3 linked regions of the Sus scrofa genome follow. The protein of the gene in region 3 purifies or fractionates together with the protein of the main gene of each other region. This does not show direct contact. Links are inferred from orthologs where the notes say so. Each region holds a gene or a part of one and is shown on either strand. Other genes may lie near its edges.

Evidence for each region.
Region 1: the proteins of SIN3A (region 3) and BRMS1L purify together in Homo sapiens (affinity purification with mass spectrometry; 3 studies listed by BioGRID, with this or other methods). This does not show direct contact. The link is inferred for Sus scrofa from reciprocal best matches to the Homo sapiens genes SIN3A and BRMS1L.
Region 2: the proteins of SIN3A (region 3) and ARID4A purify together in Homo sapiens (affinity purification with western blotting; 6 studies listed by BioGRID and IntAct, with this or other methods). This does not show direct contact. The link is inferred for Sus scrofa from reciprocal best matches to the Homo sapiens genes SIN3A and ARID4A.

What each region holds. Positions count from the first base shown.
Region 1 is NC_010449.5:64,120,440-64,125,701, reverse strand, and holds the start of BRMS1L (breast cancer metastasis-suppressor 1-like protein), read left to right. Parts: upstream 1-1,849; 5' UTR 1,850-2,073; coding exon 2,074-2,215; intron 2,216-5,262. UniProt on the Homo sapiens protein: Involved in the histone deacetylase (HDAC1)-dependent transcriptional repression activity. When overexpressed in lung cancer cell line that lacks p53/TP53 expression, inhibits cell growth.
Region 2 is NC_010443.5:187,383,453-187,388,766, forward strand, and holds the start of ARID4A (AT-rich interactive domain-containing protein 4A), read left to right. Parts: upstream 1-1,901; 5' UTR 1,902-2,082; intron 2,083-3,168; 5' UTR 3,169-3,219; coding exon 3,220-3,225; intron 3,226-5,314.
Region 3 is NC_010449.5:58,240,760-58,245,552, reverse strand, and holds part of SIN3A (paired amphipathic helix protein Sin3a), read right to left. Parts: intron 2,731-4,793; coding exon 2,523-2,730; intron 871-2,522; coding exon 640-870; 3' UTR 1-639. UniProt on the Homo sapiens protein: Acts as a transcriptional repressor. Corepressor for REST. Interacts with MXI1 to repress MYC responsive genes and antagonize MYC oncogenic activities. Also interacts with MXD1-MAX heterodimers to repress transcription by tethering SIN3A to DNA.

The DNA of each region.
Region 1 (5,262 bases), about 5.9 Mb from region 3:
TCATGGATTCTAGTTGGATTCGTTTCCACTGTGCCAGGAAGGGAACTCCTGACCATAAGTAAGCATGAATGAATTAATGCGAAGTGAGAGGAGCTCCTTTTGTAGCTCAGTGGATTAAGAACCCAACATAGTGTATGTGAGGTTGCGGATTTGATCCCTGGCATGGCTCAGTGGGTTAGGGATCCCATGTTGCCTCAAGCTCCAGCGTAGGTTGCAGATGCAGCTGGGATCCGGCAGCTGCAGCTCAGATTTGACTCCTAGCTTGGGAATTTCCATACGCTGCAGCTGTGACCATTATAAAGAGAGTGAAAGAAAAAGTGAGACTTAAAATGGATCTAAAGATAGTGTAAGCCCTACAAAATGTAAAGTGCTACATTAATGGAAGGCATCATTCCTACCTTTTTACTTTTTTTATTTTTTGTCATGCCTTCGGCCTGTGGAAGATCAAACCAGGGATCAAACCTGGGCCACAGCAGTAATCAGAGCCAAAGCAGTGACAATGCCAGATCCTTAACCCACTGAGCCATCAGGGAAATCCCAACTCCTACCTTTTAAAGGCTAGATTGAGGAAACTTCACTCAGCTTTCATGGTTTGCTTTATATTAATTTGTATTTTCCAAGCTGACAATATTCTTTTCCAGCCTTATTCATTTTTCCCCTTATGGTTTCTCTTACATTTGCTACACATCTTTTTAAAAATCTATTTGAGGAGGGGAGAGAGAAACTCCTTTTAAGCAAAACACCACCCTGTAACTCTAATTGCGCAATCTTATATTATTTTGTCTGCCTTAAACATAAATATAATGATGACAGGACTTTTAGAGCTGGAAGAGAACTTAGCAATAACATAATGCAACCTTCTTGTTTTACCACTGATGAGATATTATGTGATTTGCCCAAATGAATTGCCTGGTTATCAGTAGAACTAGGGCTAGAATCCATACCTCCTCTCCAGCTTCCTTCTGTTTTTCTTTAAGCAGCAGAACAGAAAGCACTTGCTACAGGGGCACTGTGTGATGGTGGTTGGGTGTGGGCTCTGATGCTGGACTACTCAAGTTCAAACCTTAGCTTTGCTACTTATTAGTGGTGTGACTTTGGCCAAGTAATCTAACTTGGCGCTTCAGTTTCCTCATTTACAAAACGGAAGGCTAATTATATGTAGTTCATGGAGTTTTTATAAGGATTAAGTGAATTAATGTACTTAAAGCACATAACAGTGCTTGGCACATAAAGAGTGACCAGAGTGTATTTTTCATTGAAAACTTAAGACCGGTGGCATTTTCACGTTGCATATGGTAAAAAACGAATGCAAAAAATACTAGCTGAAAGTGCCATGATAAAAATTCCTTTCTTTCCATATTTTTGATTACAAAAGTCTCAAAAAACAATTGGAAGATTTTTGTGCAACATAGAAAGTGCAAGTTATCGTCAGCAGAAACTAATTTATTAATATTAGTTTATTAGTGGTAATAAATATGCTTAGGTAAAAACATTTCTCCAGTTCCCTCAGCCTCAAAGGGGAGGAAAAATCCTCGGGCAAAAGACCTTTTCACATCTGACAGTAACATTTTGGATAGCTTGGGCGCTCAGACAATCACTTGGCGGGAAAAGAATAAATAAAGACCAAATTCGCACAATCTGTTTTTGCTTAGTTTACAAACTCCGATCGAGTCTGGCAGCTTTCATGCCTTGTGGGACTTGAAGTCCAGAGAGGAGAAGCAAGCCGGGCCATTGAAGCTTGGAAGCCGGCTGCCCCTGCGGGTCTTGAACCACTAGGGACTACAACTCCCAACATACACCGCGAGGCCGCGCCGTAATTACTGGTAACCAACCGGACCCGAGCTACACAAGCCCCATCCCCCCGGCTAGGAGCACTGCCTCCACCAATGGCAGAGCTCCCAGCGCAGAGCCTGCGGGTTAGGTTGTGAGGCTCGGGCCGGGGGCGGGGAGGAGCCGAGGGGTTTCAGAACGAGCTCCGCCGCTGGGTGGGTCGGGGCGTTCCGCGCGCCCTTCACTGAAGCGGCGGTGGCCGGGCTGGGCACTGGGAGTGGGAAGCGACGGCGCGGCTGGAAAATGCCAGTCCATTCTCGAGGGGATAAGAAGGAGACGAACCATCACGATGAGATGGAGGTGGACTACGCCGAAAACGAGGGGAGCAGCTCTGAGGACGAGGACACCGAGAGCTCGTCGGTCTCTGAGGATGGAGATAGCTCAGGTACGCGACCCAGCAGAGCTGGGACCCCAAGTCCTCGAGCCAGACTAGCGCCAGGCCGCTCTCTGCACGCCGGCAGCTGCGTCCTGCTGGGAGAGCGGGGCGGGGAGAGAGGGAAGGGGCGGAGACTCACTCCCGGCCCTCGGTAGCACCGGGACTGTTCGCCGGGCGCTGCCTGTGCTCCTGGCGGATCCCGGTTGGCGGGGCGGGGCGGGGCGGGGCGGGGCTGGGCAGGGCGCGAGCCTGGACTCGCCGCACTTCTGGACGCCGCGCGGACCTGCCCACGGTCCGCCCCGCCCTTGGGACCTCCGGGCTGTGCCCGGAGCCGTCCGGAGCGAGGACTGTCCCGCATCCTGTCTGGGAGACTCTGGAAATGCCTCCTCTCCTCAGACCACCCACTTCTTATTTTACACCTTTGCAACCTTTACTTCGCAACGTGGGTGGGTTGTCTGAGCCAAGGGTAGATTTGTATTGGCTCCTGGCCGGTTTAGAATTTATTAATCTCAGCTTCCAAGTCAACGTGTCAGTCAGTACTTGACATCGGTGCTCTTTCGGGGGGCTGACGTGGGAGCGGTACCGTTTGCAGCATCTCTCTGAACTTTTCAAGACTGAGAGGAGCCCAACATCATGGATGATAGTTTTTGCACCCTTTTAGGAATTATTATTTTAAAAACAAATGGAATTTGTGATTACTTGGATTCTTTTTTTCTGTCCATATAATGAATGTGAGACATTATTTTTTGTCTTGGTCTGATTTTGGCCATGTAAAGCAAGAATTGATGACAGATTGATGACAGTGTGTTGTCATCTCTACACCCTCTTTTCAGGTTTCCTTTCAAAGAACCTCCGTGGAAGAATGTACTGCAGTCAATAAATCAACCAACCCCAAATAAGTGTTTATAAGTGACTTCTTCGTGCAATTCTGGGTTCTACTCAGTGTGAGGTATAAATAGTTACGATCTGACTTCAATTAAAGATCTTTCATAGGTCACCACTTCCTTAAATTGCCAATTGAATGCTTAACTGTAAACAATACTGTAGGAATTCAGAGGCAGAGGAAATCTTTTCACTGTGGAATGGTTAGCAAAGGCTAGTTGAAGGTGGAATTACCTAAGTTATCTTGAAGAATGGGTAGAATTTGAATTGGAGTTAGTGTTCAGGTGTTTCTATAAGGGGAGGAATGTAGGAAAAAGTGCCAGCGCCGGAACTTAAAGCTTATTCAAAAGAGTGAGAAAATCTGGTTGACTGGGAGAAGAATCTGAACTATAAAAAGAGAAGATATAGATGTGAAAGATTTAAAAAAAAAAAAAAAAAGCAGGAAGCAGGGTTGATGACAAGTTTAGGAGTGAAAGTAAGAAAAAAAAAAAAATCTCTGGGGTAGCATGAACAGAAATAGAAAAGTAGAATCCGACTAGGAAACATGAGGTTTCAGGTTCGATCCCTGGCCTCCCTCAGTAGGTTACAGATCCATCGTTGCCATGAGCTGTGGTGTAGGTAGCAGACATGGCTCAGATCCTGAGTTGCTGTGGCTCTGGCATAGGATGGCAGCAATAGCTGGGATGAGACCCCTAGCCTGGGAACCTCCACATGCCGTGGTGTGGCCCTAGAAAAAGGCAAAAAGACAAAAAAAAAAAAAAAAAAAAAGAAAGAAATAGAAAAGTAAAAGATTTGTGATGAAAGTAGAAGGTAGAGTATTACAGACATCTTGTTTTTGAGGTCATGGTGGTATAAAGCCAGAGTGCCCCAAACTGACAGGTGGAAATATGGCATTAAAACCTGCCTGGGATGGGAAGCACAGTTAGGAAGTCATCAGCCTAGTCATGAAAAAAGGTGAAATGTCAAAAGTGAAGAATACAGAGAAAAAAGCGAAATGCCAAAAGTGAAGAATACGGAGAAAGAACATCTAGACTGTATGTGAATGTATTTCCGAGATCTGTGAAACATTTTATCTTTAAGTGTTTATTTATTTATTTTTTAACGGGAGCTAGGAGCTTGCAAAATGACATTTACTAAAATTTTGCCTCTCTGATTTTTATGTTGACCTTTATGATTTTTCACTGTTTTTTATCCTCAGAAAATAATGGACAACCTAATTTGTGAAGAATGTAATAATAATTTGAACTAAAAGTCAGATCTTTTAAGTGCAAAGAAATTATTTGAATATATTTTGCAGTTTTGCATCTTGCGAAAGCATCTCTTTTCTCCCATGTATCTTACATGTTAAAATTCCACAGTTTGGAGTTCCCATTGTAGGTCAGCAGAAATGAATCTGACTTGTATCCATGGGGACACAGGTTCGATCCCTGGCCTCGCTCAATGGGTTAAGGATCCTGCATTGGCATGAGTTGTGGTGCAGGCCTGCGACTATAGCTTTGATTTGACCCCTAGCCTGGGAACCTCCATATGCTGTGGATGCAGCCCTGGGAAAAAAAAAAAAGTTTCCAGTTTTATTCTTCTCCAGCCTTGGTCCTGGGCAGGTGCTAAGGCTACAGGACAACTGTACTATCCAGAGATATTTTGGAGTGAGTCATCCTGAGGGACCAAATTTTAAATAGCCAAGAAATAAGCTATTAAGAGCCAGAAATAATTTTAATCTGTTTCAGAAAAGTTAAAAAGATCGTATACTTCCTTGCTATAGGAAAATAACTTAATTCTTTCTGATAGTTTGACCTTTATTGGATGAGGATCAATATGCAGATCATTTTGTGCTTCAGTTACTCTGATGTGACAACTATATGTGATATAAAAATAGAAGATAAGAAATATGAGAGGTGATAACTAGCAGTTGCTTTCCTTGAAAATTTTCTTGTTTTTCTCTTCATTTTTCTCTTTCTCACTGACTGACAGTAATTTTGGGAGAGGGAGCAATAGGAATCTAAGAGTAGGAGAGCAAGATATTCTGTGGTGAAGATAATAAGATTAGTTTTTTTTTTTTTTTTTTTTGAGACTGGCAAATGATTCATGTGAGCAGTAATTAAAGAAGAATTCCTTAAGTGTTTTTGAGCAATATTAACCTTTAAAGGACGTAATCATTTTGGTGCTTAAGTTCT
Region 2 (5,314 bases), on a different chromosome or scaffold from region 3:
AATCATGAAAATGTTCACACTGTTTCTTGATAAAAATATGAAGCACTTAAAAAATCCAGAAATGGGAAAGGCATAATTGAGTAAACAGACTCATAAGTATGTCCTAATCTGGGGACTTCATTCTAAAGTATCACATCAGGAAGCTAGTTATACAGACTTATTTGAACCTTTGACCAAACAAACACTTTTCAACTACCATTTTTTCATTTTGCTATTTATGGTTCTACTTACTGGTCCACAGAAAAACTTTTTCAGGCAGGCTCACCTCAGTAATACTTTCGGGTATTTGTCACTGAACTGTCCTGTTTTCTTCTGACCAACTGCCAAAAAAAAAATCTCAATAAATTATTAAATCATTCAATCATTTTCTAGTCTGGAGCCCCATGAATAAGAGGGTTCAAATCAAGAATATTATGAAGATAATTTTATGCAGTTATTTAGATCAGTGTGACAAGGTCATTCGATAGAAAAACTAACATGCATTTATTTTAACTAAGAAATTACTTTTCTAGTAATTCTAAGAAAAGGCACTATTGTGAATGAAAAATTGACTCAATTAAGATATTCTCCTAACGAGTAAATGTAGTCAATGTGGACTACCATTGATTTTTACATATTTAATTATTTCATTCTTTAACTCAACTTGCTAATTAATACTTTATTTCCACAATTTCAAATGTAATTTTGTTCTATTGAAAACAACACAAGATCACAACAAGCTCAACGGCTGCCTTGAACAAAGTCCTACCGGGGAGGACCTTTCCTCTAAGGAGTGATGATAAGGGTTAGGTCAGGAGTTTTCAGTCCCTGTATTTCCTCCCCCAAAGTAGTATAAGGCTCCAGAAGGGTGGCACAGCTGCACGTCTAAAGTAGCAGGGCTGCTGCCAAGAGAATTCCTCAGCGCCCCAAACCCAGTTTCCTTATTGCCTCATCGCGGGAGGAGCACGCGGAAACACCTCTCCCCAGGTAGGGAGGGTCTAAGAACCTTACCTTCCCCGTCTTCCTGAAAAAGGAGCCTATAACTGGTGACACTCGATCACAGAGTATGACAAGCTGCCGAAACCCACTTCCAAAGAAGGGAAGTACTGCTCCCAGAGAAGAGGAGCCCAAAGGATCGGCCAGGAAAAAAAGACCAGCTCGTCTCCTCCGCCTCTTTCTCTTTGGCAGCGGGAGAGGAAGCCTCGCCCCCTCTCAACCCGCCTCCCGGCTCCCCTCCCCGCCGCAGGGAGAACATACCCGGCCATGGCTGCCGCGCGGCCCCCTCACTTCCGGTGCCGGTGCCTCCAATGCTGCGCCATCCCCCAGCCCACCGGACAACCACAGCTTCGAACTGACCTTTCCGGCAGATCGCGACTCTTCCAACGTTCACTAGGTTTTGTCCTGGAGAGAACGGTGGATGGGTGCCGCAGAAAAACGAATCTACAGACTAAAGAATCCGCTCTCGTCTGGCCAGAAACATAAAAAGCGATAGAGCTGCAGCCACCGCTGCCCAGACAAAATGGCGCCGACAAGCTGGTTCGGCGCAGGCGTCTTGGAAAGACCTGCCCCGCCCCCGTGCAAGTCCTGGGCGCAGCGCCGGGTTCGGTTTCCATGGGACACCCCACCGCCAATCCTCGTGCCGAACTGCTCTTCCTGACCCCCCCAATTGACCAATCAGTGCTCAGTCAAGCACATCCGGAGTCCTCTTTACCAATCATTTCTCAGGATTTACTAACTCAATACCTGATTCTCCAGTAACGTTAGTCTTCGGAGACAGCCAATCATAAGTGGAAGATGTCCTACCTGCTATTTTTCGCACCAATCCGGGAAGTTTCAGAGCTACATCCAATGAGGACGGCAGGTAGCGAGCTCCAATCCGAAACTCTTCGGCGTCATGAGCAGCCAATAGGAGTTCGTGTAGAAGCGAGACTGCTCAACAGCTTGTTATTTGGTGGATTGTGGCAGTAAATCGGGCGAGTAGGGAACCGGGCGCAGGAACTGCCGCGGCGGCCGAGAGTGGTGCTGCCCGGACGGGGGCCCACGGGGGTCAGTGGGGCGGAGGACTCGGGAGCTGACAGCGCCCACTTCACCCTCAGTTGGTAGGTGGGGAGAAGGGAAGCGGGCGATACTGAATGGACGAAGCGGTACTAGCAGCTGGTGCTGCTGCCCGGGGTCCCGGTACAGTTGGAAGCTTTGGAGGTGGGGAGGGGGATGCTTGGCAAGCGGGGCGACAAGCGCAGGAGAAGGGGCAGTTCGTGGAGCAGCGGCAGCAACTGCAGGAACAGCCGCTGCAGCTGCCTCCCCGGCCGCTTCCCCGGGTTCCCCGGGAAAATGGCTGTGGGGCTGGCCGCGCCGCTAAGTTTGCTTCCGCGCGGCGAGAAGCTGGCTGCTTGGGGGAGCCGGCCTCTAACTCCGCGGCGCGTCCTCCCCCCTGGAGTCCGTGGCAGGACCCGAGGGGCTGGGGGCTGGTACCGCTCTGGGCTGTACAAAAAGTTGAGGCGGGCGCGGGGAGGAGGCGGCGGCTGCTGCCGTTCGGCTCCCCTCCCCTCCCACACCCTGTCCGGGCCACCTCCCCTCCTCCTCTCCGCCCCCCCAGCCCCCTCCCCCTCGCGGGTCTTCCCTTCCTCGCGCGCCTCCAAGCTGAAGGCCGCGGCCCCTGCCCCTTGGGGTGAAGAAGCGCTTCTCCTTCCTGACATGGTGCAGAGCGGAGGAAGGAGAGCAATGGCGCCGTGACACTCCGCTGCCGCCACCGCGGGCCCGGGGCGGGCCGAGGGGGCCGAGCTGCGGAGGCGGGGCGCGGGCCGAAGTCGGGGTATCCGGGGGCGGCCGGGAGGAGGCTCGGCGACCGCGCCTGCAGGGGACCTGGGGAAGCCCCAACGGCGCCCTGCCCTTCTCCGGAGCGTGCCGTCCTGGGGCTCTGAGTTGAGCATTCCGGGTCAAAGTGGCGAGCGAGGCGGGGGCGCGGTGGGCCGCTGGCGAACTCTGAGGCGGAACCGCTGCCCTTTGGCGCCCGTGGGGTTCTCGCCGCCCCTCCGGCTCCTGCGTCCTGGCTGCCCTCGGAGGGGCTCTTTCGCCCTCCCTGGTGAGGGTTCTGCCCCTCCCCGCAGGCGTTTGTTTACTTTCTTTCCCCGAGTCGCTCCCCTCTGTTGACTGATTCTGTGCTCGTCTTTCCCCTCCCCTTGGTTCCAGCGGTAGAGAAGATAGCTCGTTGAGCTGGAACCCCACAGATCACCAGTAAAAATGAAGGTAAGTGGAGTCGACGCTGCTCGGAACCTCGTGCCCTGGACACTGCCTGTCGTGAGGCTAGAGCTGTGGAATGTCATTTTTCTTTTCTTTATTTTTTTCTACTCAAAATTGATTACTAAGCTGCGCTTTCTGAAAATGAAGACATGTTGAATTGGGTGAGAAATGATCATTGTGTCTAAATGCGGTCAGTTCGTCCCCTCTCCGAAGCAGTTAGCACTTTGGAAAGGCTGGTGCAGCCTTTCCATTGTTGTCCATTGGGCTAGTATTTTTAAACACTTCCTGTGTTGGCAGCAACCTTTGCAGAAGTAAAGCTTCTGTCCTGCTTTGGTTGTTTGGGGGATTTTTTGAAATTTGTTTTTTTCTTCTCCAGTGCCAATGCGATTTTCTAAGGATGGAACATGTGGATTGTGTCAGGGAGATAGCATTTCTTCTGGGGATAAGGTGAAATTCCGTGGCTAAAATATTTGAAAATGAACTAATACTAAGTATTATTATATATTATAATTATTATAATTACTAATACTTAATTTTAGTTCAGTCTTTATAGTATTTAAACATATTCAAACTAAAATAAAAGTCTTCAGAAGACAATTAATATTGGAAATAATATTGCAAACATCATATGTGATGTTTAAAGGTAAAGAAGTTATAGCATCCTGCAATTCTGTGGCCTTGAATGTTTCGGTCATCTACTTATTTGCCAAAAGTATTTCTCTTTAATTTGCCCTAGTTGTAAATGCACTAACTTTAAAAGATACTTTATTCCTTACTCATTAACTTTCAGTGTATTAAGCTCTGAAACAGTATTTTCCCAAACTTTTTCTTGTGTTCTTTTCTCCTTGAAGGAGATGTATCTCTTTGACACATGTATCTTCTTTAATGTTAGTTGAGAAAACTTACTGGAAAATGAAAAATCATTTTCTACTTAAAAATATTTCTCTATAGACTTTCACGTTTGTACTTAGAAGTGTTGAATTGAGCTTGAGTACATGTAACTTTTAAAAAAAATGACAGATTGAGATAGCAATCATTTTGTTACTGTCAAGATTAAAATGAATGGTGGAGTGAAATTTCTCACACCTTTCAGTGTATCATTCTGATCATGACCATTTGCTAAAAATAGACATTTCTTTGTGAAGCTTTTTTTTTTTTTTTAAATACCAAGATTAGTGTGATGAATCTTGTAGGTACAGCTACAAGTCTTGAGGCATCAGTTCATATCTTAACCCTTTAAAATGTAGCTTTTAGCCAGTGATTTTTCTAAATTATGCTCTGCTTATCAAAAGGGTTGTCTTCGTTTCCTAGCCATACATTTATTGTGTATCCAAAAAGATGTTGCCTTTATGTAGCTATAATAACACTTAATCATGATGTATTGTTAGTGTTAATTGGAATAGCAGTATTTCTTTTCATTTGAAAACAAAATTTTCAGGAGTCCATTGACTGAATAACTTAAAGTTTTATGAGACACTTACTATGAATATACCTTTTCTGGATTTTTAAATTTTTTTGGATTTTTAATTTAAAATTTTTTGGATTTTTTTTTGGAGTTCTCATCATGGCTCAGTAGTTAATGAATCCGACTAGGAACCATGAGGTTCTGGGTTCGATCCCTGACCTTGCTCAGTGGGTTAAGGATCCGGCATTGCCATGAGCTGTGGTGTAGGTTGCAGACGCAGCTCAGATCCCGCGTTGCTGTGGCTCTGGTGTAGGCAGGCAGCAACAGCTCCAAATTTTTAGACCCCTAGCCTGGGAACCTCCATATGCCGCTGGTGAGGTCCTAGAAAGGGCAAAAAGACAAAAAAAATTTTTTGGATTTTTAAGTTAAAATTTCTTAAAATCTGTCTGTTATAGAATTGTTGACTCATTTTGTACCTGGAGGGAAAAAAATTATATATTCCTACTGATACTTTCTAGTTACAATTTCAAATGTTTTATGTTATGAGGATATAGTTTATAAAGCAAAGGATTGCTAATAAAGTGTTTGCTTTAGGGTTTTTTTTTTTTTTTCAAATTATCAATGACATTAATAAGCAAATAATGTTCTTATTACTTGAAGTACAGAATCTTTTGAAGAGACTTGAGGTTG
Region 3 (4,793 bases):
CTTGAGGTTGAGAACCAGAGGAGAGAGTAAAGGGCAGGCAGCAAAGAATTCGTCAGGAATCAAATTCACAAAATGATCAATCTCAAAGCCAAACTGTAGGTCCCAGAGAAAAATCTAATGGGTGATTAGATGTGCTCAAGTGACCAGGAAAAAAAAAAATCCAATCCAGTTTTTTTCCTTTTGCAGGGAGAGGAAAGGAGCAGTGATCATCAAGAGTTACAATCCATCTGAGCAATGAGTCCTTCCCCAGTCTGTCAGTGCTCGCCAATCCAGTCAAGGTGTAAATAGCATCTGGTTCCCTCTTCGAAGGTCAGGCCCCAGGAGACTCCAGTCTTAGCTCTGCTGGTGTGTGCAAGCAAACTGCATGTCTCTGTGCTTGCGTGGATTTCCTTCCTCTCCAGGGCAAGCTAATACCCAAAACCCCTGGGAAATGTTCCAGCTCTGGCTTTGTAAGGTATCCACGTTCCTTATATGTAGCCCACTTGGTGCCAGGTTGCACCAGCCACACACAGATGAGGTGGCCATGTCCCAGAGAGGCCCAGTGAGGCTTGAAAGGCATCTTCCTTGTTTCTTCAGTGTGTGGGAGGGCATATGCCCCCCCGCAACCCTCCCCTCAAGTTATCTGCTCTGGCTTTGCAGTTATGGGGCTTTGAACACTGTGCCATATTTGACACGGTACTTGTTAATGCTCACAAAGTGCAGGGTCTCTGTGTCACAGGTGGTAGTGCAGGGCACCAGGCCCTCCAGCCCCTCGCCCATAAGCCACTTGCTGGTCTCCGCTGCCATTTCACGGGGCACATGCTCCTTGGTCCATTTATCTACCCAGGCCTGGAACCTCTGATGTAGCCGCTTGCTTACACGCTCATGGGACTGCAAAATAGAAGGGAAAAAAATAACATGAACTAGCATCAGAAATCTCTGAAGTACAAAGCCCTATTTTCTCCTAAAGTAGCAAGGGAAAGATGTGGGCTCAGGTCACTGTTAAGTTTTAAAAAAAGAGGAGTGTGTGGGGGGCAACAGGAGTCTACTTGAAGATAACTGAAAGAGACTAAGGACCTAAAACATGTAGCGAGTTGGAACTCATAAAGCCCTCAGAAATGCCAACACAGGGTCTGGGCAGAACTAGCTCAGTGCTTCTCGATTTTAGCATCCATCAGTATCACCTGTGGAACAGGGACAGTGGGGTCAAGACAGACTTGATAAAAATAGGTAGAGTTTCTTGTTTCCATCAATTTACATTTCTAAACCAGCAAGCCAGCTCTGTACCGAGAGTGAGACAACGAGTTGAGGTTATTTCTGTCAGCATGGCAATCCACTTCTATGTAAAACAGCTGCAAGGCAAAGGGCTTCAAACCCACTCCCTCTTCCCACTATTACCCCACCCTGCCCAGCAACGTGCTGGGCATAACAGGTCTTCAGGGGAGGTTTTCCTTCCTATTCATTCATCTGGTAAATATTTATCGGTGCCCATGAATGCATCCCCATCAGTGTAGGGGATACAAAGATAAATAAGGTGTGGCCCAACTCTACAAATCATTTGAATCAGAGACATGCAGACATACAACACACAGCACAATGAGAGAAGTACATTAAATCTCCCACTCGACAATCTCCCCTGAATGTTTTATAGTCCTTTCTAACTTAACTAGTTCAAAACAGCATGCTTGATCTGCTTCCCAAACCTGGAAACCCCTTCCTATTAACAAAACTCCCCATTTGCTCAAGCAAAATAAGCAAAGAAACAAAACCCAAATCATCTGGTATCATCCTTAATGTTCTCCTTTCTCTTAACTTGCCTACATCCAATGGTTACTATATCCTGACAATTACAGCTCCAATCTAATTTTTATAATTTCACTGCCACCCCCAGAGCATAAGTAACCATCACATCTCATCTGGACGAGAGTAGTCTTTCAAGTGGTCTTTGCCCTTCCAACTTCATGTACTTCCAACAAAATCCAAACCATGGCCTATGAGACCAAGTCCTGTGGCCTCTGCCTACCCTTCCAACTTTATGCATCCCACTTTCCTATAGCTCAAGGCACACTGATGCTTTTAGTTTCTTAGACAAGCCAAGTCCTTTCCTCTCTCCCAACCTTGCACTTGCTTGTTTCCTTTGCCCAAAAAGTACCAATCCCCAACCCTGCACCAGGCTGGACCCTGGTCACTGTTCAGGCTTCAAGTATCACCTCCTTAAGAGAGATCTTCCCCCCAAAAAAGCAGGGCCCTGCCTGGCAGTTACCCGTGATCATGTCACCTACCTTCTTTCCTTGGTAATGTGCATCATCACTTATATGCTCTACCTTGTGGTTGTAGCCCAAAGACCCGGCACAGTACCTACTACATAACTGCACATAACCTTCACAATTGAGGCAGCATGTGAAAACAGGATTCATAAAAGCAATTGCTACTTGAACAAATGAGTAGCTTCACTGGAAGATGCCACCAGATGTTATCTTGGGCGGGTGTGGTCCTGGCTGGGGAGGGAGAAGTGTGGTCAAAATTCCAGTTACGGTTCTCACCTGATGAGCCCGGAGCAAGGCGGTCCTCCGATACATGTAGTCCTCTGACTTGATCACATACACCATCTTATACGAATTCAGCTTGAATCTACACTCCAGCTTATCCAAGCTATCCGCATTCTCCATGGTTTTCTTGCTGTTTCCTTCCTTCCCTTCCTTTTCCTGCTGCTCTCGACCACGCTGACACTTCCGGATCCGCCGCAGATTCCTATAATGCAGAAGAGACTGGCAGGATGATAGCTTGTCCAGATGTAGAGTCCCATGGCTGCCGGCCCCTCCCTCCCCCAAAGGGAGCTTTCCTTATCATATACCTTCACAGTACTTATCATAATATTAATCACATTTTTTTTTTTTAAATTTTTAGGGCCACAACTTCAGCACATGGAAGTTCCCAGGTGAGGGGTCAAATCAGAGCCATAGCAACACCGGATCCCAGCCACATCTGCGACTTACACCACAGCTCATGGTAACACTGGATCCTTAACCCACTGAGTGAGGCCCAAATCTTCATGGATTCTAGTCGGGTTTTTAACCTGCTGAACCACAAAAGGAACTCCCTACATACATTTTTAAAACATTCAATGGCTTCATTGCCAAAAAAATATATATGTATATATTTCAACTGCAGGGATACAAAGAATAAAAAGTAGAAATTGCCAGAGTTCCTGTCATGGCTAAGTGGTAACAAACCCGACTAGTATCCATGAGGATGCAAGTTTCATCCCTGGCCTGGATGCCCTGCCTGGGACCTGCCATATGCAGTTCTCAAAATTCCACTTGCCTTGGCAGAAGAAACCACTGTTAGCAGTTTTGATTTAAAATATTCTAGGTCGCAATCTATCTTTCACTTAATGTCATGAAGATTTTTTCATTTCACTACATATAGATTTGTGTCGTTCTCCCTCTTTTTTTTTTTAATGGGTGTACCACAGTATATGGAAGTTCTCAGGCCAGGGACTGAGTCTGAGCCATGGCTGTGACAACGTAGGATCCTTTAACCCACTGTGCTAGACTAGGCTAGCCCAGGGATCAAACCTGTGCCTGCACAGCGCCTCAGCAGCGACCTAACTCACTGCAGTTGGAGTCATAACCTACTGCGACACAGTGGGAACTCCTGGTGTCATTCTCTTTAACTGCTACAGAGGAATGTGTCTCAATTATCATTCCTTTTTTTTTACTTTGGTCTTTTTTGGGCCGTACCTGCAGCATATATAATTACCATTCCTTAATGGGAATCAATCAGGGTTCTTCATGTGAACCACAGGGCACAGGAAACTATTTAAATGTCTATTTTTTTTCAATTCTCCCAAAGATGGCACATAACTAAAGCTGTTTTACATGTGTAGGAAAGAAGATAATTCACATCAGTGGATGCCTTGGCAGTTATTTAGAGCTTAATTCCCTCCAACAAGCAGAGAAAGGTTGTCATCTAGACAATTATATTGTTTCCTACACCTTGCTATTAAAAACACTGCTTCAGTGAATATTTTTGGACACACACATTTCCACAGGACAGCAGTTCTTTGGTCCAAAGATTCTTAGAGGCCCCCAAGATCCTTTTCCAGGAGGTTTGTGAGATCAAAACTATTTTCATAATAATACAAAAACATTTTTTTTTTAACCATGTTAACATTAGTAAGGACAGTGCAAAAATAACAATGATTATAAAAAGAAAAAGGAAAAAAAGCTGGTGGTGGCACCAACCCATTCTTAAGATGTCTTGGTACTCTTCTCTGGCTATGCACTGACAAAAAAGGAAAGATGGTCTGACTTAAGAATGTCTTTGATGAAGCAGTAACTTAAAAAAAAAAAAAAAAAAAATTAAACCCTAGGCCCTTAGTTCACATCTTTTTTTTTTTTTTTGGTCTTTTGTTGTTGTTGTTGCTATTTCTTGGGCCACTCCCGCGGCATACGGAGGTTCCCAGGCTAGGGGTTGAATCGGAGCTGTAGCCACCGGCCTACGCCAGAGCCACAGCAACGCGGGATCCGAGCCGCGTCTGCAACCTACACCACAGCTCACGGCAACACTGGATCGTTTTTTTTTTTTTCTTAACACTGGATCGTTAACCCACTGAGCAAGGGCAGGGACTGAACCCGCAACCTCATGGTTCCTAGTCGGATTTGTTAACCACTGCGCCACGACGGGAACTCCAGGTCACATCTTTTTATTTGTGTTTGTTTGTCTTTTTAGGGCTGCACCTGTGGCAATGGAAGTTCCCACGCTAGGGGTCAAACAGCAGCTGCAATTGCTGGCCTATGCCACAGCAACAC